7 linked regions of the Macaca mulatta genome follow. The protein of the gene in region 3 binds, or shares a complex with, the protein of the main gene of each other region. Links are inferred from orthologs where the notes say so. Each region holds a gene or a part of one and is shown on either strand. Other genes may lie near its edges. The genes, in order: TMEM67, CEP290, TMEM17, TMEM107, AHI1, CC2D2A and B9D2.

Region 1 (4,177 bases), on a different chromosome or scaffold from region 3:
GTTGGGATTGAGTCCAGAACCCCCAAGTATACCAAAATCCACCCATATTCAAGTCCCACATTCAGTCCTGCTGGAACCCATCTATACAGAAAGTTGACCCTCTACAGATGCAGAATTTGCATTCTGTGAACACTGTATGTTCTACTGTCAATGAGTTCAAGTAGTTTAACCCCATGTTGTTCAAGGATCAACAGTAATTACACTTGATCTTAGCCTAAAGGCCAAGAAGTGATGGATCAACAGTAGTTAATTAGTACAGTGACTAACACAATGTAAGACTTGACTACTGGCTGGGTGCGATGGCTCACACCTGTAATCCCAGCACTTTGGGAGGGGAGGAGGGTCACCTGAAGTCAGGAGTTCAAGACCAGCCTGGCCAACATGGTGAAACCCCATCTCTACTAAAAATACAAAAAAATTAGCTGGATGTAGTGGTGGGCGCCTACAGTCCCAGCTACTCAGGAGGTTGCGGTGGGAGAATTGCTTGAACCTGGGAGGCAGGGGCTGCAGTGAACCAAGATCATGCCACTGCACTCCAGCCTGGGCGACAGAGTGAAGACTGTTTCAAAAAAAAAAAAAAAAAAAGAACTGACTATTAGCTTATTGCTCTTGTCACCTTCTTTCTGCTACAGAAAGAAGGATGTGGTCAATGTTTGATGATAATCAGTAAGTAAGCAGAGTTATAAATAAGTAATGTTACTTAGAAGTAATATTACCTTTATAATTCCTTACCTGTATAATTCCAATGGCTAGCCAAAGAGCAGCAGACACTGCATATCTCAAAATGCGGCTATAAGGAGCTACATAGCTAGATGGACTTCTAGAAAGACTAGAAGATGAGTCCATTAATGCCAAGTTCTTGAATCCCACAACCTGGAGTAAAAAGGAAAAGTAGTAATTTAAACAGACATGGATAAAGAAAACTACTCGACTGAAAATAGAAAACCTCTCCCTACTCACCTTGAAAAACTAAAATATCCAAGTTTGTATAAACAGTAGAAAATCTAGATAAAAATAATTATTATCCAGTATCTTAACTACAAAGTATTTATTACACAATATTTAGTTAGTTCATTTGGCATTCTTCTCAATATGACTAAGGGTCAAATATAACCTTATTGTCATACACACTGACAGGAATACAAATTTAATTCAAAGGATAAAACTTTCATTAGTAAACTACCAATGAGTGAAACCAACAACTAGTATTTCATGAGTATTTGACATGTGCCAGGCACTGTACTAAACATTTTTATACTTTAAAACAGTATATTACAAAATGTCTTCTAAAGGGCATAAGTTCTTTGAAAAAATAATCTATGTTTAAATACATTTGGTCCATCCATTACACTTACCTCCATGCTTCCCACCCTTGTAGAATAAAGGCTCTGAGAAGTTTTACAGTAAAAGGTACTACATGATTATACTGAATCCAATATTTTCCAAACTAACTTGACTATAAAACTTTTTCATGTAACATCTTTTAAAGCTGAGGAAACTCCTAAACACACACACACAGACACACACACACACACACACAACTTCAAAAAGAAAAGAAGTATGTGAGGTAACAGATAAACTAGCTTGATTTAGCCATTCCACAATGAATACATATATCAAAACACTGTATTGTAAACTATAAACATATATAAATTTTATCTGTTCATTTAAGAAAAACCAAAATACTACTTCAAGTGAATTTTGGAAGTATTGCTCATATTATTTAAAGGCTCTAAGGATACAAACAGTCTTCTACCAGTTTTACAAAAATAAAGGAAGGGAAAGGGGAAAGAGAATGGAAAGAAAGAAGAAAAAAGAGGGAAGACAGACAGACCTAAGAGTTAATGATTTATATTCAATCTTAATTAAGCAGATAATTCCTGAGAAAACCTATTCCCATATAAACGGTTTCCATGTTCAGTCTTATACTTAGTACTGAATACTTTCTTTAATAATTTCAACTAAATCCATGAAATAACTGCAAATGTATAATAAATATGTTGCATCTTGTTCATTTTAGCCCCAGCTCTTAGCACAGAACATAGTCTATAGTAAGTTTTCAATAAAAATTAGTTGAAAAATATCAAACTTATAATAGTGATTCTAATGTAGGGGAGAATACGGATCAGGGAGTAGGGAGCTTTTTCAAAATATAGATACCTGGGGTTACCTCAAAGCTACTAAATCAAACATAGTCTCTAAGGGTGAGCCCGAGCATAGGTATTTTACAAAAGATCCCCGAGGGCTTCTGATACAAACTATTGGTTTTAAAGCCACTCCTTACACCTAGAGCAGTCAAACACACAGAGACAGGAAGTATTATAGAATGGTGGTTGCCAGGGGTTAGGTGTAGCAGGGAATGGGTACAGGGTTGTTTAAGGGATATGGAGTTTCAGTTTTGCAAGATGAAGAGTTCTAGAGATGAATGGTGATGATGATTTTGCATGACAATGCGAATGTACTTAACACTATCTTTTTTTTTTGAGATGGAGTTTCGCTCTTTTTGCCCAGGCTGGAATGCAATGGCGCCATCTTGGCTCACTGCAACCTCCGCCTCCCGGGTTCAAGCGCTTCTCCTGCCTCGGCCTCCCGAGCAGTTGGGATTATAGGCATGTGCCACCATGCCCAGCTAATTTTGTATTTTTTGGGAGAGACAGGGTTTCTCCATGGTGGCCAGGGTGGTCTCAAACTCCCGACCTCAGGTGATCCGCCTGCCTTGGCCTCCCAAAGTGAGGCGTGAGCCACTGCGCCTGGCTGACTTAACACTATTAAACTCTACACTCAAAAATGCTTAAGATGGTAAACTTAAAACAAAAAAATTGTGGTAAAATATATAACATAAAGTCACTCCTTTTTAATGGCTTCACAACAATATTTCAACCTTTAGAGAAATCTTCCACTGTCATGAAAACTTAGTTGGAATTATATTAGTTTAATATTTATAAGGTACATGTAAGTTGCATAAATCACATCAAAACAGTTTATACCTCCAAAAAGAAGAGGACAGTAAGTACTTGAAATAGTGAATTAATTTTTCTCACAGTCTGAATTTCATTCCATTCATTTGCTACAAAATATGTTCTCCATATGCTTACAGGAACAGTGGCACTTCGTACACCACCCTCACCTGGTCAGAAAAATAAAATGAGTAAAAGAATTCTACCTCCTTTGCTCTGCAAGGATAGCAAAAGAATTTTGGTACAAATGTATATTTCACTTACCTTCAACAGCTTTAAGAACCTTTCCTTTAGGTCGCTCCCAATCAATAAAGAATACATCTATTGTAATCTGCGATATGAGCTTATGCAAAAATTGTAGTGCCTGAGAATGACATATAATAAAACACCTGAAAGAGTACCAGCATTAAGCCTGCTTATAAAACCAATATTGACTCTTTAAGAAACATACTGTTATCACAAGAACATATACGTTTATAAGTGAATTCACATGAAGTTATAATACCACTAGGGGATCATTAGAAGCTCATCAGATAACCTGGAATCACCAAATTCACAGAATTTTCATATACATTTTACTTTACCTTCCCTTTTTATTTATTTCTTTAAAATAGGAATATGAAAAGAGGAGACATTTTTCCTCCTCACATAGGGACTTATATAATTGACTCTTTCCCAAAGATTCTAGAAGCACACCTCGTTTTGTAGATCAGTTGACTTCTTTATAAGTAAAGATATTTTCAACTATAGCTTGTTTTTCCTAAAGTTTTTGAATGCTCTGTCTGTTTTTTCTATTTCTGCTATTAAGATTTCTGATTTTTACAGAATGCGTTGTTGAAACACATCTTTCTCATTTATAGAAGCAATATGTTTAAACTGAGGCATTCTTTCTAGTTGCTGCATTATTGATCAAATAAAGGCTAAAAATCTAAGTATGGGATACTTCACTTCGAGAAGCTCCCAGCCAGTGGAAAAAGGAGACACTTAATATTCACAGTACAATGGGATAAGGACTATCAAGAGGCATATAAAGAGCTTCACCTACATTGATAGAGAACACTGAGTTGAGAATGGGGGTCATAGGAAGAAAGGAGCAAAGGAATCTGGAGACAGACAAAACAGCTTTAAGATCTCAACACTTTATCCTTGATTAATGGAGACAAAATTCATGCCTGAAGACATTTTGTCCCATTGTGAATGTATCATCAGACTTTAAGGAA
Region 2 (4,177 bases), on a different chromosome or scaffold from region 3:
CCTGCTATTTCCTAGCTGACCTTGGGGAATGGTTACTTAACCACTTTGAATCTGTTTATCACATAAAATGGAGACAGTAATACCTATCATATATGGGTGTAAATATAGAATGCTTATAAGGCAGTTAGCATAGTGTCAAGTACAACTCACACATGATGGCTTTTATTACAAATTAGTAATAGGACTACATACCATATTGAAAAAGCTACAAGAAATAGTCAAAGATAGTTCAGATATAAATTGGTATAATCCTTTGGAGAGGATGGCATTTCTATCATACTATCAAACAATGGCATAATAAGGTCAAGAGATTAATCATATTTTATAAAAGCAGAAACTTGGAAGCAAACTATCCACCAAAACATAAATGGTTCAATATGCTTATACATGCAATAATACACTATAGAATTATTAAATGGATGAGACAGGTTTATGAACAGACCTCACAAGATGTCCAGGATAAACTGTTAAAGGCAAATACGCTAGATATGTGTATAGTATGAGTTCAATTTTATGTCACTTGCCAAGAAAATATATATATGTATATGCAAACAAAGTCTATTCTCTATCCACAGTAGTTTTAGTCTATAAAGTTAGCCCAATTAGTGAATATCAAACCACTGCTGCTAGGGGAAATATGTACAGACATACATATACATACATACACCTACATATCTCACACATGATAATCTTAAATCCTAAAGATAACTCATCCTGGTAAATTCTATTTATTTACATAAGAAAAGGTTCAGAAGCATTCGTGACTCTCCTAAGCCTAAAGCACTAACAAGCCTCAGAATTGGGATTCAAATCCCTTCCAACAGGCCCCAGAGCCACAGCTTCTTGCACTATGCTGTGCTGCCCTCTACCGTCTCCATCCTTTGATCATTTCTCTATGAAAACTGAAATGACGATACTGAGCACCGCCTTGTTGAACCTCTGCTGGCGACATGTAGGTTGGATTATTCAAACTTTCCAAGGCTCTGTGGATGTCTGCAAATGTGCTGCGAGTGTTGATTTGGGGATTACATACACGCCTTAGTGAGCAGGTGATTTAGAAAATACAGAATCCACAAATAATGAGGATCTATTATACATATGAACACATAAACACATGTATGCATATGTGTGATATATATGTACATAAAATATGTGTGTATGTGTATGTAGGAATGAGGAATGATTAGTAATCACTTTTGAATGGGAATGGAAGGCAGCAGAAACATACTTTCTTTTTACTTTGTAAAAGGAAAAAAATGTAGGCAGTATTTACTTATTTGCAGTTTTTAAAAATGTTCAGAGGACTTGAAAGAGCCTATACTTAGAAACTGGAAGCAACAGATTTAGTATTCATTGCTTAGCCCTGCATTGTGATTAAATCTGTAACACCCAGATGGAGAACAAAGAGAAAAACACTTGGGTACTTGCTACTCTATAGTATAAACAACACAAAGAGAAAAATGGGAATATTTTTATATTAATAGCATGGAGGAGAGACAAGAGATCCAAAACTTATCAGGAATTTGATTTTACACTGAGACAATGATCAGAAATCTGAGCCAAAAGAAAAAAAAAAAGGTAAACCCAAATTCAAAAACCTGGGGGTAGCTAACATGTTTTTTAAAATATATTACCAGGTATGGTGCTTTCAGCTCCACTTTGGTCCTTGTTAGCTTCTATCTGATGGATTAATTCTGCTTTCTCTTTATCCAGCTGACTATTAGCTAATCTAGAACACAATGATAATTTGTTAAAAAAAAAAGAAGGCAGGTATTGCTTCATAAAATATATGGGCATTTCTTATGAACTAGTGATGTACAGTAATCAGAACAAACTAGTCTTTATCAAAGTAAACATTTACTCTCAATGCTACAATGTCACCATTCTCAAAAAGCCTGGAATACAAAAGCCTTCACATTTTTCTTAATATCTGACCTGAGGTCATTTCCAAGAGTGGTTTTGTTATGAGGAGCCTAATGAAAGTGGGCTACAGAGACTCCTGAAAGTAAAAAATTACTTGTTCTCTTTCATTAGTATTTTCCTCTGGGAAGCTAAGGATTAATTCATTCTATGCTCTTAGAAAAGTTTAAACTAAATTACAAACTGGAAACTTATATTACAGTTGGGTTTATCCTTTTTTCCAGTGTGTATTATGAAAAAGAGAGTGATTAGCATTAGAAGGAAGAAATAAGGACCTAATAAGCCTGTTAGGCAGTAAAGTTGAAAAATGTTTGTCTCTAGTTGTAGCAATTCTAAGATTATAAAAACTAATAATTTTTTTTTAAAAGAAAGAAACAAAGTAGTCATATGAACACATGACGCACCTAAGAACTTGAAGCTCCTGTCTGAGGCCTTGCTCTGTCTCAGCACCTTCAGGAACATGTTTAAGAATCTTAATCTTTGGGGACAATGAAAAGTTAGAAGATAACTTTGGAAATACGAGGATTTATAAAGATACACATTTTTAATAAAGCATAATATTAAAATCTGGTTTTCAAAAGCATGCATAGGCAAATTTCTATGTTCTATTCACCATTCATTCAACAAGTATTGAGTAACTACTGCATAACTGGCATTGTCCTAGGCACAGAGGCTACAGCAGTGAACAAAATAGGTAATGTTCCATCTTGCATGGTCCTCATTTAGTGTGGAAACAAAGAATGTGTATGTAATATGATATGATATAATAATAGTGCCAGATGGTAGGAAGAGCTATGAAGAAAAAATAATCCAGGGTAAGAGGATCAAGAGTGATGGCAAGTAGTATAGGGTTAGGGTTAGGGTTAGGGTTAGGAAGGTCTCTCTGAGGAGCCTCTATTTCAGCAGAGACATGAAGTCTGGGAGGAAGCTATGAGAATATTTGGGTGAACAGTATTCTAAACAAAGGAAACAAGTGTAAGGACTTAACGCTTAAATGAGTTTGAATTGTTTAAAGTACTGAAAGAAGGTTAATGTGGTTAAAACATTGTGAATGAAATGAAGGGAAAAGTGGTAGAAGATGAGATTGGGAAGAAAACTGGGTACCAGACCTCATATATTGTTTTGGGATACGAAAAGTACTTTGAAGTTTTATTTTAGGGTGATGGAGAACCACTGGAAGATTCTGAGGATAGGACTTTGTGCTTTGTGATGTGCTTTATGTTTTAAAAGGGTTACCCGCAACTGTGTGGAGACAGACCAGAAATAGAAATAGAGTGAAATAATGCAAGAGTGGAAGCTGAGATACCAGTTTGGAAATTATTGTAGTTATTCAGGTATAAAACAATAGCCTGGACAAGACTGGTAGTGATGTCTCAAGATGCCAAGAAGTGGTCAGATTTGGGATATAGTTTGAAAATAGAGCTGACATAATTTAACGATTAAAAAAAAGATGTGGAGAATGAAAAGAATGAAGTCATTGATGATCCAAAGTTTCTGGCTTAAGCAAATAGGTGAATGGGGTGCCCTTCAGTTAGATGGGTCTTCTTAATCGAGTCCATTTTTATCTATAGAGGAACATCCTGTGATATTATGCATTATTTTATCATGTAAAGAAAAATTACATTACTTACCTGTTCTTCAAGGTCTTCAGTGTATTTCTTAACTTTTTGTTCTCTCTCTGTTGCTTCTTTTACAAGCTGTTTAAGGTCAGTAATGCTTTGATTTTTTTTGGCAATATCAGTTTCCAATTCTTTTAACTTGGTTTCATACATTCTAAAAGTATAAGGAAAAAAAGTATAGACATGGCAAATAATTTATGTCACTGATTTAAAAGTCAGTTCAAATTACCGTACTAGAAATAAGCAAGAATATCTTATTTTACTGTTTCGTCTAGTCAAGGTTTTCGCTACATATTTATTTACCATTAAAATGGTGGTGGCAAGAGATAAGGTATCCCTAATTAACAGATGGCCCATTCAAAATAAAGAATTTGGGTATTTTCCAAGATTATAAATAAGGATGGAGCCTGATTTGACCATTTTAAAATTAATACCTTTTTTCAATCACAAAATAAGAAAATACAAAGTAAAATTCTTCGGAATATAAAATTCTATATTACTAGATATTCTTAGAAATATAAAGATGGCAAATAAAAAGCTTTTCTCACATATACAGACATACATAGGAGGTATACAGAAAAACACTACAGGGAGAGGAAAAAAATTGTGCAAAAGCATGGGTGAGAAAAATAGTATCT
Region 3 (4,936 bases):
AATCTCATACAAAAACGGATTACCAAGATTATATAATTAGACACATCTCTCTTTTCAGCATACCCTAATCTTAGCCATTCTTTAAAGTCCAATTCAGCGTCGTCTTTTCCATCAATACTTCCTTCATCAGTTCCCCCACCCCAGCAGAAATACCTTTCCCTTCAGGTACTTATCACTCTAAACTGTCAATAAGAAGTGCTAGCAAAGAACCACATTCCCCTCCCCGAAAAACAGTCTGGTGTACTGAACAGATCACGGGCTTCAGAGTTCAAGCAAACCCGAGCTCCCCAAACCTCTGTGACCCTGGATGTCAGACTTTATATAAATTATTTAAGTTCTTTGAGCTTCTATTTCTTCATCTGTAAAATAGTGAAATTAAAACTTCCTTACAGGCTGCTTGTGAGAATTAGAGCCAATATGAATTATTTCTTCCTAGCACTGTGCTGGGCACACTTAGTAGGCACTCAACAAATATTAGTCCCCTTTCCTTCTTCTCTTCTATTTATCTACTTATCTGCAAGCACACACCATGTCCCACCCTAATTTGAGACCCTCATAGAATCTAGCATCTTGCTTTATATGCAGTGAATATCAAATACACATAAGAATGAATTAATGTAAGCATACTGTCATAAGGACATTACTAGTATAGCCATTTGTGATACATGAGTTCCATTTACCTAAGGTTGATTCCATAACACTTTTTGCTTTTATGTAAGACAGAAGGGTCCTAAATTAAGAATTTGATTTTTAAAATTGAACCCTACAAAATACATCCTAAATTTGACTAAATTCTTAAGAGCGGACACATATATTGAAATCAGTTGTTCTACACGTAAGATTTTAAAGGTCCTAAAATAAATGTCTTAAGAACATTATTTTCTCCTTTTCTCCATAGTTGAGTGTTTTTATCTGTCATTTAATAATTTTAAAATATAAGAAACAGTCATGGTCTCTCGCAGCAAAATAGTTTCTTTTAGCTCCAAAAATATGCCTGATTATTGTGATCTACTTTTGCTTGCAACTGCTTATTAAATTACCACTGATAAATGAATGAATTCTTAAAATCTGTTAAATCTGAAGACAACTCACCAGCCTAGGATCTTTCTGATAGCAACAGCACAATGCTGTGGACATGGTAATTACATAAATTTGTTATTACAGTACAAATAATCAAACCTACTTCTGATCCACAAAGAACAAAATACGGGAAAGAATAATAAATTGGGCAAGCAGAACATTTCAGTACCTTTGAGAAGAAACTGTAGTCAAATTTTGCAAAGAACGGTTTTTATGTTAGAAGTATTGTGTGTTAACATCTTAAAGGTTATGCTATGTCCATATTTCAGCAGATCAAACTTATAATCATGGAAATGAAAATCAAATTAATATGTAAATGAACCTTAAAAGCATAAGATATACATTTACTGAATTTTGCAAAAGTTCAAGTTGAGTTCTATAAATGGAATTTAAATTAAAACATACAATATAAATCAGGGATAGGTAAACAACTGGTCAGCTGCCTACACGTTTTTGTACAGTCAATGAGCTAAAAATGTTTTTTCACCTTTAAATGCTTAAAAAAGTAATATTTTTTTCATACGTGAAATCCATACGAAATACAAATTTCAATATCCTTAAAGTTTTATTGGAACACAGCCATGCCTATTCAATAACTATTGTCAGTGGCTGCCGTGGAGACCATATGGCCTACAAAGCCTAAAGTACTTACTATCTGGCCCTTTTCAGAAAACGTCTTTTTACCTTGTATTATCAGACGTTAGTGCTCATTAAGCCTCATCCTTGGAACCAGAAACGTGAAACCTAATTTTTTCACATTTTTCTCTGTACATCCTAAATCATAAAGGCCTACATTTGGGGAATAGGCAAGTGATCAAGACGACAAAATGCAGCTTTGGGGACTGCCTTTACTTTTCTGTCCCTTTTAAAAATTCTGTAAAACCAAGCAGTGGAAAAGATTTATATTTCCCAGCAGACTTGAATGATGGAAACCACACGGGTTTGGTTGACAGTGTGTTGTCTACCATCATGATGTAGGAGGAGGAACCTGTTCTGGAGGAAACTGCGTTATCACTTGTCATCAAGTTGAAGGATGCAGAGGCATCATGGTATTTTCTTACCTTATGGTAAGAGTTACATATAGGGGAGGAGGAGGAGAAGGCAGGGAAGGGGTGAGTTTTGTTGAACGTCCGGCTAGTATGGCACATGCCAGTTGGGAGTGGATGGTGGTTTGAAAGGACTCTTAAAAAAAAATTTTTTTTCCCCCTAATCTTTTCTGCCAGAAAATGGCCTTGCTTAGGAACATACTTGTTCTGCTAGGAAAAGGGAAAAGGCAAATTTGCTCCCTGGGCGGCGGGTGGGGACAGGGGAGGTGGGGATTGCTTGGGCTGTTCCTCGCCATCCTGGACAGAAAAGCCGGGGCGGGCGCCGCAGAGGAAAAGCAAGTTGGGCCTTCGCTCTCGCGGTGCGCGGGGGACTAGCCTGTGCAGCAAGGGCTGCTTTTATCTTTTTATTTTTGGGGTTTCCCAGGAGCCATGATGGGCCTTGCTTGGCACAGAGGTCGGCCCCACCTCAGCTGCCGGGCTTGCACGGAGCAGGCCAGGCGTTAGCGCGTGCAGACCAGGCCCAGCCCGCGGCCGGAGGCCGCCAGCGCCTCAGCTCCCCGCCCCGGCCGGCCCCTCCTCCAAAGCTCTGGCCCGCACTGCGGGAAACTGACTGAAGGCGACATCGCCATTTTAGGTACGGGCAAATTCTGGACGCTCCAAAACCCACGCCAAGCCCTCAGCAGGCCACACCCCCTGCGCCGGCCTCGGTCACTCACCGGGACCCTCACTGTACTCCGGACCGGTCCGATTGGAATCAGTGAACACAGCCCGGCTGAAGTTTCCCAGCCGCTGGCGCACCGGATCCGGCAGCTCCATGCCTGGGCCTCGGTATCCCTCGCCCCCTCAGATACAGGCTAGTCTGCGGGCGTTCCGAGGCTCCGTGGTTCTCATGGCAACCGGCCGGCGCGAGGCCGGCGAGATCCGGGAGCGCGCGGGGGTGCCCGGCTGGGCCGGGTCTCGTCGGGAGCCCGCGCAACCTTGAAGGGACCGGCGTACTCAGAGCGCGTTCCAGGCCCCGGGAGCTGCGCGCCTCGGCCGTGTCCAAAACGGCAGATCTCTTAGTTCTGCTTTGAGCCCGACCATCCTAAAAACAAACCTATACTAAGAAATGAGCTGGGGTTGGACTGCGATACAAGGAGCCCTCATATCTTGCCAGTGAAACTGTAAATCGGTACAACCTTTCTGGAGGGAAATAGAGAATGAATGCAGAGCTTAAAGAATGTCTAGAGGTGTAGGGGTATGTGTGAGAGAGAGATACTATGACTGATTATTTTTTAATAAGAAAATAGAGCAATGGGCAACTGATTAAATGTACTGGAGCATATGCATTCAATGGAGTATGTTTCAGCTGCTTATAAAATGCTTGCAAAGAATATTGAATGATATAGTTTATGTAAAAATAAAGCAGAAATAAAACTAAATGAGAATAAACCTAATTTAGCAAAATTTATGTGTATGAGTGGAGGGGAGGAGAGAGCATGTGCACACCGACTTCAAAAAAAACTGGAAAAAAATATTAACAGTAGTTATCACTGGATAGTGGGATTGTAGGTGATTCAAAAATTTTTAAACACTTCTGTATTTTCTAGCTTTCTCTCTAAGATATATTACTTAATATATCAGCACCCTGTTCAAGAAACGTTACAATATTCCCAGAAACTCCCCCTTCCTATTTCCTTTCAGTCACTAAACCCCCTCCTCACTCATAACTGACCTTTCCTGAATTCTAACAGCAAAGGAGAGTTTTGCCTTTTTTTTTTTTTTTTTTTAAATCGGAACATTTATTGTGTGACTAATCCAAATATATATATATTTTTTATTCGAGACAGAGTCTTGCTCTATCGCCCAGGCTGGAGTGCAATGGCACAATCTCGGCTCACTGCAACCTCCGCCTCCCGGGTTCAAGCGATTCTTCTGCCTCAGCCTACCGAGTAGCTGGGATTACAGGCGCCCGCCACCACACTCGGTTAATTATTGTGTTTTTAGTAGAGACAGGGTTTCGCCACGTTTGCCAGGCTGGTCTTGAACTCCTGCTGCAACAGCTGTCCTCTTGGGTTTAGGTGGTGTTCCTTCAGAAAAGCCATGCCTTAACCTGCTGTACACAATTTTTAGGTGCCTCATTCGACCAGTCTCGTTGGTATTTTGGTTTTTAGCCTCGGCACTCCAATTATACTTTGTCTTGGCTTGGGAGCCGAGCCGCATTTGCCACAGGCAAACTTTTCAAGGAGGTAGATCTTAGAGTCACAAGGCAGCACTAGCTGTGCATCTTATTGCACCACTTTCTAGATGTGACACTCCCTTTGTCATCTTGCTTCTCAGTTTTGCATATTTATATAAAAGCCATGGTACTGTAAATACTTTTTAAAAATAAAAAACTGGCTTTGTCTTCAACATTACTTTCATGAAATTCCTTCATGTCATTGAGTGTAGATTATTTTGCCTTGCTCTGTGTGATCATACCACAATAAGCTTACTCATTCTACTGTTGATGAGTGTCTGTATTTTCTAGTTTGCAGCTGTTATGAATAGTGCTGCTTTGGTGAAAAGATGCCTCTTGGTGAACATATGCATGCATTTTTGTTGAGTGTGTATCGAGAGTGGAATTGCCATGTCATAGGATATGAAAGACCCAGCTTTAGTAGAGGCTGCCAACAGTTTTCCAAAGTGATCGAACCAATTCCTGCTGCCTCCAGCAATGTATGAATATTTCCATTACTCCATATACTTCACCAACACTTGTTATTTGTTATCCTTTCCTTTTAGCCCTTCTGATGGGTGTGTGGTAAAAGTATTATTTTTACAATCAAAAG
Region 4 (4,880 bases), on a different chromosome or scaffold from region 3:
ATGAGTATCATCCTAAGGGGAACCATCCTGTGCACTAGATTACAGATTTTTACTGATGTGCAGTGTTTCCTGAGAAGAGGTGAAGCGTCAAAGTATCAAACGACAAAGAACAACGGGAGTCCATTTGCACAATCCTACCTCCTAAGTCCCAGTAAGCAACAAATACAACTCACAATTTTCAAAACCAGGTAAATTTGGCGAGATCACAAAATAGCGAAATACGAAAACTATTCCCTGCACCGCATGATAACTACATTAACTAAACTAACAATCAACATAACAGAAACATAAGCGATCGTCAGGAAGAATCAGATAGGAGCAATCAGGGTGTTGCAAGTCCTGATTACGCAGAGACGTTAATCACGTTTCATGCATTCTCCAATCATCATGTTCTAATCTGCCCTCCAAAAGAGGAACAGGTAAGGATTATCCCACCTGACGATATTTCTAAATAGCCGACATTCCGCACTCAGTCAAAAAGATTCCGTTTACAGCTAGGGTGAGTTCACGACGCGTTGGTATAAGTAACCCTACTACTTAGCATCCTTCCAGTTGTATTGCCATATTTGCTTGCACATTTTTAAAAGAATTTTTTCGTTCGGCTGCCGAAAAGGAATAAATTTCTTTTTCCCAGAATGCTCCGATCATTTACGTGCTGGACGTTCTAACTGTAAGCACTTTCTATTTACATATCTCCGCCCACTCCCTTCCGCCAGACAACTACCGTAATAACCAAAATAGAAGCGATACCAAGTATCTTACGGTCTGCAGAACTAGAAAATAACGTTGCTTCTTTTTTTTTCTTCAGTAGTTTCGCCATTTCAATTGTGCCCTGAAAACTGTATATGTCTTAATCTTACTACAAAACATATTTTATTACAAACCACTAAATACAATGCGGATAATCCCAGACTCAAGACGTAATTATTCCAACACATATCCTCCAGCAGAAGCAGTTTCCGAGGGGAGGACCGAAGCCTATGCCTTCCTTCTTCCAGGAATACGAAGCGGCCCTTGCCCCTGTAGCCTTCGTCCTTAGGTTCCCGTCATGAAGGTGCTCAGAAAGGCTTCTTTTTCAGCCCAAAGACGGTGACGAATAAAGTCATTTCAGTGACAGCTGGAAGGGCACTACCGAGGCAAGTGGTAGATTCAGAAACCCGTTCAATATAAATACCCAAATCTCCAAACCAGAGACCCCACCCCTGAAAGTGTAGGACAGGTGGCATGGGGTAGGGAATGAAAATTCAAAAGACTACAGGATGTTAAGTGGATCTGGTATCTCCCACATAGAGGAAAGGGCTGGGTAGGGGAAAAACCCTCAGGTTTAGGGTCAGCCTTCCTCCCTCATTCCCGAATATTGGATGCTACCACACCTGCAGAAGACAAAAATGTACCAATACGTAGTGCACTCCCAACGCTCGAATATGAAGAAGGACAGGGCCACGGATGCACTACAGTGAGCCCCAATGGCTTGAGAAGGCACCACAGTTAAGGAAAGTCTTTGGATCGACAGATAGTGAGGGGTCAGAAAAGGCCAAAGGCCAGTGGTGGGGTTGGCATCTGCATTCAGGTTCATCGTTTGCTCCCTCACCATATTGCAAGGGCTAGAGTCAGCATCCCCGACTTCTGAATTTTAGGACAGTCATGTGAGGAGAGACCAGAAGTGACTGCGCAGATGGGATCTCAGGCTACCCTACTCCATATCTAGGGGCCAGCCTGGATCCTTCAGATGAGAGGTAAGAGTAGGCTCTCCTGCTATGCCACACAGGAGTGCTGACAGCGACTTGATATGCGCTGGAATCAGCCTCCAGTGTCCTGGTCCTCCTGGTCCACAATTCTCTGACCCATGTGCCTGGCTTCCGTTGCCTCTTCTGAGTTCCCAATGTGCTTTATATCTTTCGTTTTTTGCCAGAGTCTTGCTCTGTCGCCCAGGCTGGAGTGCAGTGGCACGATCTCGGCTCACTGCAACCTCTGCCTCCTGGGTTCAAGCAATTCTCCTTCCTCAGCCTCCTGAGTAGCTGGGATTACAGGAGTGCACCGCCACGCCCGACTAATTTCTGTATTTTTAGTACAGACAGGGTTTCACTATGTTGGTCAGGCTGGTCTTGAACTCCTGACCTCAGGTGATCCACCTGCCTCGGTCTCCCAAAGTGCTGGCATTACAGGCGTGAGCCATCGCACCCTGCCTGTGCTATCTTTACACACTCCCATAGCACACTGCTTATCACACTGAATTACAGATGTGTATCTACCTCCTCATGGTTAAAAAAAAAAAAAGTGGAGTTTTTATTATTACTATTTATTTTGTAGACACGGGGTCTAACTATGTTGCCTCCTGCGCGGGCCTCCCACAGTGCTGGGATTACAGACGTGAGCCAACGTGCCTGGCCAAAAACTGTATTTTACTCTCATTTCGGAATTTTAAGTGCCTAGTAAACAGCAGGATTTAGCACATGGTTGAAGATCTTTGAACTGGAGAGACTGGCTACAGCAGACACTATTGTGTCAGGTGGCTGAAGGGAGTCCTGATAGAAATGGGTCGTGTGGGAAAGGTGGGCAGGCAGAAAGGATACAGATGAGGCTCTGGGTGCTGTTGAACATGGAGACTCCTGAGAGGAAACCGGCCAGCTCCACTGCAAAGAGGCCCAGGGTGACAGAAAGCGCGGCCACCAGCCTGCAGAGAGGAAGTGGACTGGCCCAGGCCTTTGGACTTCTTCTAAGACCCCTCCACTCCCACCACCTCTTCGTTCTGGCCACCCCGTCCCAAGAGCTCACTGAATGTCCTGCTTGTCATACTCCTCGGGGGTGAACCTGAGAGGCAGGCAGGCCTGAATGTTGCTGTCCTGGGAGCAGGGCAGAGAGGAAGAGAAGTGAAAAAGGGGCAGGCTGCTGGGCAGGCCTAGGGACGGCGGAACACGAGAAAACCCAAGTGGGTAAGACACTGGGAGAGGGGCAGGGTGGGGCGGGGACGACTCCGAGATGGGAATGGGGGCGGACGGAGGGCAGCCGTGGGTCTTACCCGGGACCAGAATAAAGTGATGACGACCACCAGATGCGCCAGGAGCGTCAGGAAGCGAGAGGGCACAAGCCCTGAGACCCGGCCCATGGCCCTTGGGAACAAGAGCGGCGGTCTCTGAGGCTGGAAGTTCAGAGACTGCGACTCCCGCAAGTCCACCAGCAAGCGGACAAATCTAGACGAACTCCTCCTTTCCGCCAGCTCAGGCACCGCCCAGTTGCCTTGGTAACCGCGTACGCGGGCGTGCTGCCGCGTTCTCGGAAAACCTCGCGAGAGCAGTACATTCTCCATCTGCTGTGGGTCTTTCAGGGCTAACTCAGGTCAGGGGTACCCGAAGGAGCTTCTAACCCAATGGCTGGGTACCCGTGCGCAGCCAGGCCCTTTGTTTCTCAGAGGGTGAGGGGTGGCACAGCCCCGCAGCGCCCGATCTGCCCACGCAGGGCCGACGAACGGAAACCCACCCTGGCCTAGCCTGGGGACACCTCTGCTTCCGCGGTTGCCCACGCCGGGAGCGGCCCCCAGCCCCAGCTACGCTGCCCAGTTGTGGATCACTTGAGATCACTCCCACCGCCACGCCGGGCTGAGGTCCCCGCCATGCCGAAGACTCACACCCGCTCCCCTTCCTCCTCTCCTCATGCCTTTAACTTCCCACCAAGCTGGGCCTGAGAAACAAGGGACCCGAACGTGGAGAGGCCGGTGTTCCTGGACTGCTCGGCAGTTACAGATTGTCACAGAGCCCCTGGTTGTCTGAGGACCCTAGGCCTGAACCTTCCTTGAGGAAGACTGATTTCTCTCAGACTACTTTGCTCAGTTTGGTGAAGGATTTGCAGAGTGCAAAAAGTGGTCAGCGTCCTTAAACTAGCGTGGGAATAAGAGCAAAGCAAGGTGGCTGGAAAGGTGGGAGTGGACGAAGGGAATGGTACAGTCCCTGCGTCTCTGGGAGGCTTGGAGCCTACGGGAAGGGAAACTCAACTTAGATTTCTTTATCTCTTGGAGGTGCTGGACCTCCGACATTGCCCAGCTACAGTCCAGGAAGCTCTTATCACCGGCGACGTCATGACCTTTGGGCCTCAGCGCAGGTCCCTGCAGATCTGAAAGTTCTTCTCTAATTGCTCAGTCAAGTCCCATCCTCAAGGAAACTCCCGGCCCATTTCCCAGGAGAACAATATCTTCCTACTTCCCACTCGACGTCTCAGTGCCTTTAGCCAGACTAAAGTACAAGCCCAAGAGGCATTTCTCATTCCTTCAACAAATATTTTTATATATTTATTTATTACCTAGTAATAGTATTCTAGTCAGGGAGATCAACAACAGACATGCAAACAAATAAATCCGTAAGATAATAGGTGCTACAAACAGGGATACGCGGGCCAGGCACAGTGGCTCACGCCTGTAATCCCAGCGCTTTGGGAGGCCCAGGAGGGCGGATCATCTGAGGTCAGGAGTTCGAGACAAGCCTGACCAACATGCTGAAACCCCATCTCCACTAAAAATACAAAATTAGCCGGATGTGGTGGCGCGTGCCTGTAATCCCAGCTACTCGATTACTACTACTCGATTAGCTACTAAGGCAGTGGAATCGCTTGAACCCGGGAGGTGGAGGTTGCAGTGAGCCGTGCCATTGCACTCCAGCCTCTGCAACAAGAGCACAACTCCGTCTCAAAAAAAAAAAAAAAAAAAGGAAACGCTAGAATTATAATTCTATAAAAGTAGGGCATTTATAATTCTATAAAAATAGGGCATTTATTCTTAAACTTTATTTTAGAAACTTTGGCCAGAAATTGACCGGGAGTGGTGGTTCGCGCATATAATCCCCGCACTTTGGGAGACCGAGGCAGAGAGATCACCTGAGGGCAGGAGTTTC
Region 5 (4,177 bases), on a different chromosome or scaffold from region 3:
ACAGGATGCTATGATTCCATGATACGGATATGGAAAGTTGAGATGAGAGAGGATTCTGCCATGTTGGTCCGACAGTTTGACGTTCACAAAAGTTTTATCAACTCACTTTGTTTTGATACTGAAGGTATGTCAGAGACTATGAATGAAGACCAGCTATGTGAAGAATTTTTTTTACCAGAATAATAGTTATCGAGGCTTGAGAGGGTTATGTACTGATGATTGTGCATATTTAGGTGTATGCTTGTTTTGCAGGTCATATGATAGATTTGACATTGAAGGAGTTCTGTTTGTAATTTTTAAGTTACTCTTAAACATTTAAAATTGCATAAATATATTTCTTTGGACTGGTGATTATCATTCTTACTTTCTTTCAAGAACCTTAAAATTTGCAAACATATAGAAGGGAAATTTGCAATTATTTAAAGTAAGAATAATATAGTGGCTGGGCGCTGTGGCTCATGCCTGTAATCCCAACACTTTGGGAGGCCAAGATGGGTTGATCACGAGGTCCGGAGATCAAGACCATCCTGGCTAACATGGTGAAACACCATCTCTACTAAAAATACAAAAAATTAGCTGGGTGTGGTGCTGGGTGCCTGTAGTCCCAGCTACTTGGGAGGCTGAGGCAGGAGAATCGCTTTGAACGTGGGAGGTAGAGGTTGCAGTGAGCTGAGATCGCGCTACTGCACTCCAGCCTGGGTGACAGAGTGAGACTCTGTCTCAAAAAAAAGAATAATGTAGTATGTCTTAAAGTTGTAAAACATAAATCATTTTATTATCTGAAAGAATAAAGAAATTTATTATATCTATTAAATAGTCACTTTTTACATAATTTCAGAGACTAGGCATGTAGGCTGTCACTATAATTAATTGGCATGGGATCCAGATCAAAAGGATAATACTGCTGATTTACTCAGTTCAGCTGTAGGGATGTTAATAAATTTAGAACATATTCAGGAAAGAAAGGTATCTGAAAACTAACTCTGTCATAATAGCAGTAGTTCAGATTGTAAAAGAGACATAAAGACTTTCTTCAACTATTTGGCCGTAAGATACCCAAATGTGCAAAAAAAAAAAAAAAAAAGAAATTGGTCCATTTTACTCCAATGGGTAGAGGTGGGCCAAAGCTGTAGAAGGTAGATTTTCTTCGTTCAGAATTACAAAGAATATTTTAATACAGGAAGCAGTTCACCAATTGAATAGCTGTTTTGTAAAATACTGAATTCACAGTTGCTGAACAGCCATCTGTTAGTGGTGGTGGTTGAGATATTCCTGAGTGGGTATGAAGTTGAACTTTCTGAGGTCTGTCAACTTTAAGATGACTTGACTCCAAAGAATTGATGTTAAATTGGAATACCTGTTATTTATTATTTTATTCATTTCCTGATCATTTAATGAGTTTCTACTGGGTCTCAGGTATTATGCTAACACTATGTATTAGAATATAGGTATTTTTCTAGGACTCCAAAACAGATTTATAGGTTAATAAAGTAAGAAATAATGTTACATGTAGGATGGTTCAAATAATTTGGCTTTGGAATATGAGCCATATACACATGTACTGAGAGGCTCATTTCTTTTTGTAGTTAAATTCAGGTAAGTGACAAAGGGAAATAAGTCATCAAAAATAATTTAAAAGAGTAAAGAATTCATTTAAAGATAATTGGGGTTTGTTTGTGAGTTGCATTTTGATTTTTGACTTTTTTAAACTGAAATACCTTTTAATAGCCCTTCAATTCTTTGACTGTTTTACTGGGGTATGGTTTCCCCCAGTCTCCTATTATTTGTTTCTAACTCTGGGACATTCATAAGTGAGTAATCTTGTTTTTTAAATAGGTCATCATATGTATTCAGGAGACTGTACAGGGGTGATTGTTGTTTGGAATACCTATGTCAAGGTTAATGATTTGGAACATTCAGTGCGCCACTGGACTATAAATAAGGTATAAAATCATATTTTATATTATGAGATTTAATTAAAGAAGTTGGAAAACTCCAGTCACATGACTTTAAGATAGAATGTCAGGACATTCTGTTCTCTCATTTCAAAAAATTAACACCTTTCCTTTTTTTTTTTTTTTTTTTTTTTTTTTTTTTGAGACGGAGTCTTGCACTGTCACCCAGGCTGGAGTGCAGTGGCCGGATCTCAGCTCACTGCAAGCTCCTCCTCTCGGGTTCACGCCATTCACGCCATTCTCCTGCCTCAGCCTCCCGAGTAGCTGGGACTACAGGCACCCGCCACTTCGCCTGGCTAGTTTTTTGTATTTTTTAGTAGAGACGGGGTTTCACCGTGTTAGCCAGGATGGTCTCGATCTCCTGACCTCATGATCTGCCCGTCTCGGCCTCCCAAAGTGCTGGGATTACAGGCTTGAGCCACCGCGCCCGGCCAACACTTTTTCTTAGTCAATTATCTATAATTAATTAGCACACCCTCCTGGTGGTTGATTGATGATCTAATGACTTAGTGAAGATTTTTAAAATTTCGGCCAGATGTTAGTTTCACTTTTTTATATCCCATTTGCACTGTGGCATTCAGTAATCCATTGGGTGACATTTATGCTAAAATGAGATGTATGTTATATTACCATCGATAAGTAATAATTTATATTTTCTGTTATATCCTTTTTCCTTGGTCCAATAGCATCTCTAAAAACAGTGTTCTTAGTACTTTGTCAACACTGGTGTCTTTCAGAGTTATGTAATTATTATGAAAGTCTGTCATTTAATCAATAATTATTTCATTTGAAATTTGCTAAATGGAAACAAATGAATAAGTTCTTTCATTGGGGGCTGGAGTGTTTTTAAGACAGCTTGTAAAGCAGTTTTGTTAGTGTACATTTTTTACTTTTTATTTAAAAACACAAATGAATCATTAAACTTGAATTTGTTTTATATAAATTGATCCAGTTTCTGCCTAACATATTATACCTTTTTCTTCCATTTTTCTTAATAATGACAGTAGTTGAAAAAAGACACGCTAAGTGAAAAATAATTTTCATGAATTTTAGTTAAATCCATTGAGTCTGTCAGATCTGTTGAAAAAGCATTTCATCTGTTGTTAGAAATTCTTATATAAATAAGAATAGAAACTTGAAAATTAATAATACATGTGGTTTTGAATTTATAAAAATTGGAAGCTTCTTACATGATTTTAAACAAAAAATTTAATGTTACAAGATGTGTTTGTTGGAAGTGCTTCTTGTTTGGGATTGACTAAATTTTGGGAAAGTGAACATACTACAAAAACACATAATAATTAAATGTGCATTTACACATTGCATAACAACACAAAAATACAGTTCATCAGCTTTATTTTCAACCCTAAACTGAAGTTACTCAGAATCCTTTTGCTAACAATTATAAAGCATCCTATACTGCAGAATTGGAAAAGATATTTTAAGATTAATTTTGTACCCCCAAAAACGTTTAACATTAGATTAACTTTTCATTAGTAGTATTTTTTTTTTTATCATTTTAGGAAATTAAAGAAACTGAGTTTAAGGGAATTCCAGTAAGTTATTTGGAGGTTCATCCCAATGGAAAACGTTTGTTAATTCATACCAAAGACAGTACTTTGAGAATTATGGATCTCCGGATGTAAGTATATTTCAGTATTGACAGGATAAGTACTCACAGAATAAGTAATGAATTAAATTATATTTATAAAATTCGGTAGTGGTTCTCAACTAGGCAGTGTCCCCACACTCACCAAGGAATGTGTGGCAGTATGTGGAGATTTTTTTTTTTATGTTACTTCTAGTATCTAATGAGTAGAGATCAAAAATATTGCTAAGCATCCTACAGCCCATAGGACAGTCTCCCTAAAACAATTATCCAGCCCAAAATGTGAATAGTTCTGAGGCTGAAATGTAGTTAGTTGCTTTTATTTTCACAATTAAAAAAAAAGAAACTTCTACCTTCAACAATGATATTGATTGATACTGATATTATCACTATGATACTGTTACAGCATTAGTATAATATGATATAACAACAAGGCAGGGCTTGTGATTTATACATCCTTGTTTTTTTCCTTTATTTCCAAATAATGGTGAACATAGGGAAATCTTCTTCCTGTAAAAGGTAGAAGCAGCGTTCTGGGAAAATCAGCATGGACTTCTAGTGCATTTTTGTTTGGTGTTAGAGATGGTAATAGTGCCTGCCTGGCACAAAGTAT
Region 6 (3,755 bases), on a different chromosome or scaffold from region 3:
ATTGTTCAACTGACAACAAAGGATTTAGAATGTTACATAAACTTAATTGATAAAGCAGTAAGGGAGTTTGAGAAGATTGACTCCAGTTTTGAAAGACATTCTGTGGGTAAGATGCTGTCAGCATTTCATGCTACAGAGAAATCTTTCATGAAAGGAAGAGTCAGTCAGAGCAACAAACTTCATTGTCTTATTTTAAGAAATTCTCACAGCCACCCCAACCATCGGCAACATCGAGGCAAGACCCTCCATCAGCAAAAAATTACAACTTACTGAAGGCTCAGATGGTCATTAGCACTTTTGAATAGTGAAGTATTTTTAAATTAAGGTATGTACATCTTTGTGATAATGCTTTTGCACACTGAATACACTATAATATAGTGTAAACATAACTTTGCACTGGGAAACCAAAAAAATTGGTGTGACTCATTTTATTGCAATATTCACTTTATTGCAGTGCTCTGGAACCAAGTGCACAGTATCTCCGAGGTATACCTGTACATGCAAACCTGTGGAAGATGACGTAATCTTGCAGTCTTAGATATTTATTTGTTTTATTTGGAGAGAGGAGGAGGAGTAGCAATAAAAACGGGTAAACATTCAGTTCAGGCGAAGTGTCTTAGTGTTGTCTAAAGATAAAGGAAGAATCATTTGATGGAATATAAATAACTCATTACTGCTTTTTATTTCTACTAACATTTGAATTAAACACGGCAAAGGAAGAGGAATTCTGAAGGCTCTAATGATGCTCTCTTTAAAGCTTTACCTTGCTTTGAGGTAAAACTTGGTAAGTTTCTCTCACTTTCATTCCATTGCTGTTAATATTTGCCCAAGCAAAAGGTAAGTAAGTACAAACGAATAGAGGCAGGAAGCTCATAATGTACTCTACTGTGGGTAGTCTCAATTGAATTTCAGGGTCAAGTAGCAGAGACGAGGCAGACTACTAAATAAAACACTTTGCACAGTTTGAAAACATGATAATTTTATTATTTGCCAATAATATGTTCTTCTGATGTGATGCATATAATTTAAAATTTTCTCATATCCTGTGTAGTTTTTACATGATACAAAAAGTACAGTGAAAAAAATTACCTGTTGCGTATAAGAGAGGCAACATAGATCCAAACAGACAAAACATTTTTGGGGTATGGGTGTATGTATACAGCTAAAGCAAATTCAACATTAGGAACATCAATATTATGTACTCCAGTACTATACACAGCGTCAATTAAAGGCTTCACTTCAGAATAAGGCATGTGAAGGGGAAATCCAGAGAACTGAAGGGAAAAAACATTTGTAGTCATTAGTGAAGTTTGAAGATTTAATACATTGTTTCCTATGTAAATGTATGCCATTAATATAATAAGTCTTCTGGATCTCAGTTATTTGCTTGTGTTTTTCTACTCAGCTATTTATTAGCAATACAGAAAATGGAGAGTTGCTTAATACCCATTTTGTTTTCCTTGCTAGCATATAGGTGTTAGTCACCCCATCAGTATTCCCTCTTTTTGGAAGTACCTAGTACGCATAGTAACCATTCTAATTCCAGAAACATAGGTTAAACTAACAAATACATTTCTTTTTTCTTTTTTTTTTTTTTTTTTTGAGACAGGTCTCACTGTCATCCATGCTAGAGTGCAGTGGCGTGATCATGGCTCACTGCAGCCTCGGCCTCCTGCTGGGCTCAGATGGTCCCCCCACTTTAGCCTCCTGAGTAGCTGGGACTGCAGGAAAGTGCCGCCATGCCTGGCTACTTTTTGTATTTTTTGTAGAAATGGGGTTTTGCCATGCTGCCAAGGCTGATCTTGAACTCCAGGGCTCAAGCGATCCGCCCACCTCAGCCTCCCAAAGTGCTGAGTTTACAGATGTGAGCCATGGCGCCCGACAATAATTTTCGTCCCCTTGGCTACAATGATTGATCCATAGGGATGGGCAAGAGATCAAAGGGAGTCTCAGAGGGGATCTCGGGAAACTTGTTAGGAATAATGGCACATGACGTTCTCCTGCTTTGGGTAGTATGTGCGCAGATGTGAATTCTGTAAGTGTTCCAGCATTTGCTAACATGAGGAAACCCAGTCTTAGGATGATGCCATCATACGGAGGAGGAGGGCAGAATGGGAGGACTTGAAGGAGAATGGGAAAACCCTGATAGCTACCCTCTAAGCTTTACTTAAGCTGGTGAATTCTCTATTGCTCAAGACTGTTTGAGTTTTCTGACACTTGAACTGAAAATATCCTGACTGAGAACCTGCCTTATAAGTTAAAGGATAAATTTTACTCAGTGAGTGATCTAATTTGACCTTCACACTGTTTAGCTAATAAGGCTTACTGTTAAGTCTTAGTTACAAGCCTTCTTTCTAGGTTTTATTATCCAGCTATAGCATGTGAACACAGTACTACAAGCAGGCAGTAGAGAGGGTATATCGTCTGTTAATAACCACCTTTCTTAGCAATGAAAAGCAATCAGTGTAAAACCTTACATCCTTTAAAAAAACTGTTCTAGAGTGTTTTGATCCTTGTGCACAGTTGAGTCTAACATGATTTAGCCAGATGTTTTCATTTTATTTGATATGTAAATGTATTTCATAAAAGGTATTTTTCATGGGATACTTATATGAAAAATAGTGGTATTTTGCTATTTAGTGATTATTGAGGTTTAAAACTTATAATCACAGTTTTTAGTTTATGCTGCTTTAAATATGTACTTCTGGGAGCAATGTGGGTCTTTTGATTCCAGAAACCTGTTATTGGCTAATTTCCAATTTGAAACAAGGAAATCCACAGTCAGTTTAGGATCCATTTGTAACTTACCCTGTAGTCTCCCAGCTGCTTTAGCAGTTCTGCTCTGTGGTCATCTTCTACATCTTCTCCTTGACTTTTTTCTAACAGAGGCAAGAAGTGACGCAGAGTAGAGGTACAATATCTATTCCACCGAGTCAGATGGCGTGGCCTCCAGTCCATGATTTTTTCTTTTAGTATTTTTTCAATCCTGGTCACAAAACATAAACTCCATTTTTTGGTGACTCACTTTTCCCTTGTTAAAAAATATATGTAGTATGTAGTGGGGATTCAGATGATTGTATAACTACATTTTTGTTGATGGAGTTGTGATCCTCCAGGCATAATTAATGTCTAATGGCTACTCCCTGGAGATTCAGAATTAACATGCAGTCCTGTCCTTAAGGGTTGTATATGAGTTGAGATGGGAAATAGGCCTATAAATAGAAAGTATGTGTATCCTAAGAGCTATAACAGATACTTGAAATGTAACACAGAAGCACAGAAGAGGGAGTACTGAATGACTTGGGGATAGCAAAATTCAATACATGCAGCAAAAGTTTATTAATATTAATTTTTTTTAAGGCAGGATCTTGCTCTCTTGCCCAGGCTGGAGTGTAGTGGTACAATCACAGCTCACTGCAGCCTCAACTCTCGGGCTCAAGTGATACTCCCACCTCAGCCTCCTTGGTAGCTGGGACCACAGGTGCATGCCACTATGCCTGGCTATTTTTTTTCTTTTTTGGTAGAGACAAGGTCTTGCTGTGTTGCCCAGGCTGGTCTCAAATTCTTGGGCTCAAGCGATCCGCCAGCCTTGGCCTCCCAAAGTGTTGAGATTACAGGTGTGAGCCACTGCACGTGGCCATGAAATGTTTTTTGAAATGTTGTACAGCTATACTCATTGGTAGCATATATACGGACAGATGAATTAGACACAGGCATAAGAAGTAGGGCTTATGTTGAAAGCCTCAAGTATTTGT
Region 7 (4,776 bases), on a different chromosome or scaffold from region 3:
TCCTGCCCCAGCCTCCCAAGTAGCTGGGATTACAGGCACATGCCACCATGCCCAGCTAATTCTTTGTATTTTTAGTAGAAATGGGGTTTCACCATGTTAGCCAGGCTGGTCTCAAACTCCTGACCTCAGGTGATCTGCCTTTCTCAGACTCCCAAAGTGCTGGGATTACAGGCATGAGCCACCGTGCCTGGCCTGCTTATTTATTTTCTGTCTCCCCTACCGTATGGCCCAGGAAAACAGGGACCTTGCACACTGCTGGATCTCCAAGACCACAAACCCAGCTCTTGGTATACAGAAGGTGCTCAATAAATGTTTCTTGGACAAATTAGTGATCCTAGGAGTTGGGAGCTAATATAATCCCCATTTAACAGGTAAAGACACAGGCTCTGAAAAGGTAAGTTCATGAACATTTATTGAGCACCTGCTGTGTGCCAAGCACTGTTTTCCATGCTGGTGACATAGCTGTGACTATAGCAGACCAAGGTCCCATCATGGAACTGGATTCAGACTCAGCTCTAACTGCAGAGCCCAAGCCGTTCATCCAACTGCCTCAGTATTCTTGGCTGGGTCAACACCCCCAGCAACTCCCTGAAGTAATAAAAATCAGGTTAGTCATTACTCCCTTCTGGGCTGAGTGAGGGAAGCACCAGGCCCTCAGTCAGGCTGCTTAAAAGCAAGATTTCCCAACAGCCCTATGAAGAACAGATGAGGAAACTGAGGTTCTAAGAGGGGATGGCATCTGCCCAGGGTCACAGAGAAGGTGAGTGGTGGCGTGGAACCTGGAAACCAAGTCTGACTCCAGAGTCTGCCTCTCTTCCATCAACTGGAGGGTCCTGATTTCCTGGGAATCTCAACTTCTACCTCACTTACCTGTAGAATCAAAAAGGACCAGAGGCCAGGGGCAGTGGCTCACACCTGTACTCCCAGCACTTTGGGAGATCTAGGCGGGCGGATCACTTAAGGCCAGGAGTTCGAGACCAGCCTGGCCAACATGATGAAACACCATCTCTACTAAAAATACAAAAATTAGCTGGGTGTGGTGGTGGACGCCTGTAATCCCAGCTACTCGGGAGGCTGAGGCAGGAGAATCACTTGAACCCAGGAGGCAGAGATTGCAGTAAGCCGAGATTGTGCCACTGCACTCCAGCCTGGCGACAGAGTGAGACTCTGTCTCAAAAAAAAAAAAACGGCCAGGCGCGGTGGCTCACGCCTGTACTCCCAGCACTTTGGGAGGCCGAGACAGGTGGATCACGAGATCAGAAGATCGAGACTATCCTGGCTAACACAGTGAAATCCTGTCTACTAAAAATACAAAAAAAACTAGCCGGGCATGGTGGCGGGTGCCTATAGTCCCAGCTACATGGGAGCCTGAGGCAGGAGAATGGCGTGAACCTGGGAGGTAGAGCTTGAAGTGAGCCAAGATTGCGCCACTGCACTCCAGTCTGGGCAACAGAGAGAGACTCCATCTCAAAAAAAAAAAAAAGGGACTAAGACTCAGGCCTGAAGACATGATAATGCCAAATGGCCACATCTGTTTCATGGACATTTATCTGTGCCAGGCAACCACATACCCCAGGCTTTACAAACAAGACCCCATCAAAGTCTTGTATGAGCCAGGCAAACACTGAATGGGCACTTCATATTCCAGCCCTATTCCTATTCTAAGTGCTGTTGATATTTGTTTAGTACTCATGACAACTTCAACAGGTAAATATTTCTATTACTCTCATTGTACAAACAGAGAAGTCGAGGTGAAGAGAAGTGCCCAAGGTCACATAATCAGCCCAAGAGTGCATTAACAAGCAATAACTAGTTTTGAACCCAGGCAGTCTGTGCTCTTAACCTCAAACCTGTGCTGCTTCTTGGCTGCTATTAGCTTCACTTTCAGACAAGGAAACTGAGGCTCAGAGAGGTCAAGTCCAAAGGTCTCCAATTAATAGAAGGGAGAGTTAGTATTTAAATCCAGATCTGGCAGCCCATGGCCCTAACCATTACACTATACCATGACTCTACAGGGCCTCAGTTGGGGAAGCATGAACAAAATTACTTTCCTGGGATGTGGTGGCTCATGTTTTTAATCCAAGCACTTTGAGAGGCTGAAGCGGATGGACTGCTTGAGCCCAGGAGTTTGAGACCAGCCTGGGCAACATAGCGAGACCCTGTCTCTACAAAAAGTTTAAAAATTAGCCACACTTGGTGGTGCGTGCCTGTAGGCCCAGCTTCTCAGGAGGCTGAGGTGGGAGGATCACTAGAGCCCAAGAGTTCGAGGCTGCAGTGAGCTATGATCACACCACCTTACTCCAGCCTGGGCGACAGAGAGAGACCCTGTCCGTAGCCCCTGCACAAACGAAAAAACAGATGGGAGCTTGAGACTCACGTGGACAGGGTGTGGGCTAAGCCTGGAGTACAGAGAGCTGATGGAAGATGAGGTTAAGGCGCTGCGTTAACAGGTCGAGGAAGGAGCATGCAGCCTCTAGGCTAGGGGTCTTGGTGTGGAAATTAACCAGGCCTGGGGGAATACCTGTGTGAATGCCCCACTTGCAGAACAGGCTACTTTCCGAGAAACCGCTGGCCCCCATGATCTGCCCGATCACGTGCACCTCAGCCATGGCCCTGGGATGGGAAAAAATATAATCACAACCCTGTGAGGTAAGTATATTATCTCCATTTGACAGGAGGGGAAACTGAGGCCCAGCAAGTAAAGGGTAGTACTAGGATTCCAAGCTAGCTTCCTCACACCCCTGAGGCTGAGGTCTTGACCACAGATCCTAATTGCCAACCCATGAAAGCCTGGAAAAAATGGGGGGACCCTTGTCTGGGGGGAACCAGCATTTAACTCTGCGAGGTCTAAAATACCTTCTTTGGGTTCAGGTCAGCGGAAAGCCCCGCCCACGAGCGAAAAGACCCGCCTTCCGCGTCATGTCAGCCACCCCGCTTCCCTCACCCAGCAAGCTCTATAAGGCGCATGCGTTGAGTTCCGGGCCGACTTAGCCACGCCTCCAAGCGCAGCGCATGCGTTATTCCTACCTTAGCGCACTTAACGGTTAGGAGGGGCGAAAGCGGCAACGGGGGTTGTAGTTCATGGGGTTGAGTTGACTCGTTTTTTTCTCCGCGGGCGCCTACCAGGCCTGGCTCGCGCCTTTCCCAGGACCTTCCCGGCTGCGAGAAATGGAATCCGCGATATTCCGCGTCCGCGCTCGCCTTGGGTTCCGTGGTTGTTGCTGGAGCAACAGCAGGCTCCTCCCCTGGCTTTGTACTCGCCCTCCGCGCCACTGATTGGTGTTAGCCGTCCCCGGGAGGCGGGGTGAAACTGTGATGGACATTTTCCTCCTCTCGCTCCATTTTGGGAAAATAGCGTCTCTCCAGCTACGGCAAAGGGTTCCGCCATTTTGGCCGTGGCTAGGAAGCTGCCATGTTGAGTGTGGCTGAGGAAGTTTGAGTGCAGTTTCTCCCAGATGTCCTCTTTACCAAAAAAAGCAAATCCGTAACTGCTCCGTGCTGCGTGAGGACCCCACCGAAGAGCTCTCTATGGTCCGGGATCACAAATCAGAGACTGAACTATGACCAAGGAGGAATTCCTTCCAGGACCTCATGTACATCCCCTACCTCATAACTGGAAAACAAAGCAAAAAAAATCACTCCTCATTCACAGAGAGTGGAGAAATTGGGGAGTGGGTTCTGCTTCCGTTTTAGAGTTCCCCTAGGTTTTTCAAGGACAAGGAAGGAAGTTGGACTTACCCAACTTCTACCAAGCTACTACCAAGTTCACTGTTAAACTGCTTGAGTCTGAGCAAGGAACCGTTGGGGTAGCGAAGAGAAATGAGGAACTGGGATCCCCTTATTTGCAGAAAATCCTCTTTTCTATTGATTGATTTCTCAATCAAGAAATGGAGATGTCCCTGGATGCCATCATAGATGCCATCATTTCCCACATCAAGCCAGTCATCAGGTCCCATCAAGACTCCATAAAAGGGTCGCACTGTGTAACCCAGGCTGGAGTACGGTGGCTTGATCACAGCTCACTGCAGCCTCTGAACTCCTGGGTTCAAGGGATCCTCCTACCTCAGCCTCCCATGTAGCTGGCATCACACACATGCGCCACCACGGCTGGCTAATTCTTTTTTTTTTTTTTTTTAAGAGATGGAGTCCTGCTGTGTTGCTGTGTTGCCCAGCCTTTGTCTTGACCTCCTGGGCTCTAGCTAGCCTCCCAGTTTGCTCTCCCATACTGCCGGGATTACAGACCTGAGCCACCCAGCCAGGCCAATAGACACGAGTATTTAAAAGCCACCCTTGGCTAGGCTCATGACTGTAATCCCAGCCCTTTGGAAGGCTGAGGCGGGAAGAGCTGTTGAGGCCAGAAGGTCGAGTATAGTGAGACCCCCATCTCTACAAAAATAACAAAATAATGCATATATCAACTAGTGAAATATTCCAGTGAATTGTTTAATATAAATGTTATCCTACTGAAATGTTGCCCCCTCCTTATAATTTTGGATTTTTGTTAGTTTTTTTTTTTCTTTTTTTTGAGATGGAACCTCGCCTTGTCGCCCAGGCTGGAGTGCAGTGGCGCGATCTCAGCTTACTGCAACCTCTGCCTCCCAGTTCAAGCAATTTTCCTGCCTCAGCCTTCCAAGTAGCTGGGACTACAGGCGCACACCACCACACCCAGCTAATTTTGTATTTTTAGTAGAGATGGGTTTTTTATATCTTTCTGGATGCTGTGTGGGTGAGGAAGACAGCTCTAACCTTTCAGCTCTTGGGGCCTCTGGTCCCCTA

The links.
Region 1: TMEM17 (region 3) and TMEM67 share a complex: the UniProt entries of both Homo sapiens proteins name them as parts of the tectonic-like complex. The link is inferred for Macaca mulatta from reciprocal best matches to the Homo sapiens genes TMEM17 and TMEM67.
Region 2: TMEM17 (region 3) and CEP290 share a complex: the UniProt entries of both Homo sapiens proteins name them as parts of the tectonic-like complex. The link is inferred for Macaca mulatta from reciprocal best matches to the Homo sapiens genes TMEM17 and CEP290.
Region 4: TMEM17 (region 3) and TMEM107 share a complex: the UniProt entries of both Homo sapiens proteins name them as parts of the tectonic-like complex. The link is inferred for Macaca mulatta from reciprocal best matches to the Homo sapiens genes TMEM17 and TMEM107.
Region 5: TMEM17 (region 3) and AHI1 share a complex: the UniProt entries of both Homo sapiens proteins name them as parts of the tectonic-like complex. The link is inferred for Macaca mulatta from reciprocal best matches to the Homo sapiens genes TMEM17 and AHI1.
Region 6: TMEM17 (region 3) and CC2D2A share a complex: the UniProt entries of both Homo sapiens proteins name them as parts of the tectonic-like complex. The link is inferred for Macaca mulatta from reciprocal best matches to the Homo sapiens genes TMEM17 and CC2D2A.
Region 7: TMEM17 (region 3) and B9D2 share a complex: the UniProt entries of both Homo sapiens proteins name them as parts of the tectonic-like complex. The link is inferred for Macaca mulatta from reciprocal best matches to the Homo sapiens genes TMEM17 and B9D2.

What each region holds. Positions count from the first base shown.
Region 1 is NC_133413.1:104,191,539-104,195,715, reverse strand, and holds part of TMEM67 (meckelin), read right to left. Parts: intron 3,322-4,177; coding exon 3,222-3,321; intron 3,128-3,221; coding exon 2,988-3,127; intron 874-2,987; coding exon 733-873; intron 1-732. UniProt on the Homo sapiens protein: Required for ciliary structure and function. Part of the tectonic-like complex which is required for tissue-specific ciliogenesis and may regulate ciliary membrane composition.
Region 2 is NC_133416.1:95,298,377-95,302,553, forward strand, and holds part of CEP290 (centrosomal protein of 290 kDa), read right to left. Parts: intron 3,694-4,177; coding exon 3,552-3,693; intron 2,399-3,551; coding exon 2,325-2,398; intron 1,730-2,324; coding exon 1,635-1,729; intron 1-1,634. UniProt on the Homo sapiens protein: Involved in early and late steps in cilia formation. Its association with CCP110 is required for inhibition of primary cilia formation by CCP110.
Region 3 is NC_133418.1:62,220,419-62,225,354, reverse strand, and holds the start of TMEM17 (transmembrane protein 17), read right to left. Parts: upstream 2,988-4,936; 5' UTR 2,943-2,987; coding exon 2,843-2,942; exon of another isoform or gene 2,551-2,842; intron 2,148-2,550; exon of another isoform or gene 2,059-2,147; intron 1-2,058. UniProt on the Homo sapiens protein: Transmembrane component of the tectonic-like complex, a complex localized at the transition zone of primary cilia and acting as a barrier that prevents diffusion of transmembrane proteins between the cilia and plasma membranes.
Region 4 is NC_133421.1:9,691,989-9,696,868, forward strand, and holds TMEM107 (transmembrane protein 107), read right to left. Parts: upstream 3,199-4,880; 5' UTR 3,107-3,198; coding exon 3,020-3,106; intron 2,844-3,019; coding exon 2,776-2,843; intron 2,693-2,775; coding exon of another isoform or gene 2,675-2,692; coding exon 2,574-2,674; intron 1,737-2,573; exon of another isoform or gene 1,638-1,736; intron 1,471-1,637; coding exon 1,374-1,470; intron 1,129-1,373; coding exon 1,059-1,128; 3' UTR 804-1,058; downstream 1-803. UniProt on the Homo sapiens protein: Plays a role in cilia formation and embryonic patterning. Requires for normal Sonic hedgehog (Shh) signaling in the neural tube and acts in combination with GLI2 and GLI3 to pattern ventral and intermediate neuronal cell types.
Region 5 is NC_133409.1:40,532,269-40,536,445, reverse strand, and holds part of AHI1 (jouberin), read left to right. Parts: coding exon 1-124; intron 125-1,836; coding exon 1,837-1,943; intron 1,944-3,478; coding exon 3,479-3,597; intron 3,598-4,177. UniProt on the Homo sapiens protein: Involved in vesicle trafficking and required for ciliogenesis, formation of primary non-motile cilium, and recruitment of RAB8A to the basal body of primary cilium.
Region 6 is NC_133410.1:14,648,552-14,652,306, reverse strand, and holds the end of CC2D2A (coiled-coil and C2 domain-containing protein 2A), read right to left. Parts: intron 2,987-3,755; coding exon 2,809-2,986; intron 1,275-2,808; coding exon 1,086-1,274; 3' UTR 963-1,085; downstream 1-962. UniProt on the Homo sapiens protein: Component of the tectonic-like complex, a complex localized at the transition zone of primary cilia and acting as a barrier that prevents diffusion of transmembrane proteins between the cilia and plasma membranes.
Region 7 is NC_133424.1:52,506,639-52,511,414, forward strand, and holds the start of B9D2 (B9 domain-containing protein 2), read right to left. Parts: upstream 3,242-4,776; 5' UTR 3,028-3,241; intron 2,934-3,027; exon of another isoform or gene 2,857-2,933; intron 2,614-2,856; 5' UTR 2,610-2,613; coding exon 2,522-2,609; intron 1-2,521. UniProt on the Homo sapiens protein: Component of the tectonic-like complex, a complex localized at the transition zone of primary cilia and acting as a barrier that prevents diffusion of transmembrane proteins between the cilia and plasma membranes.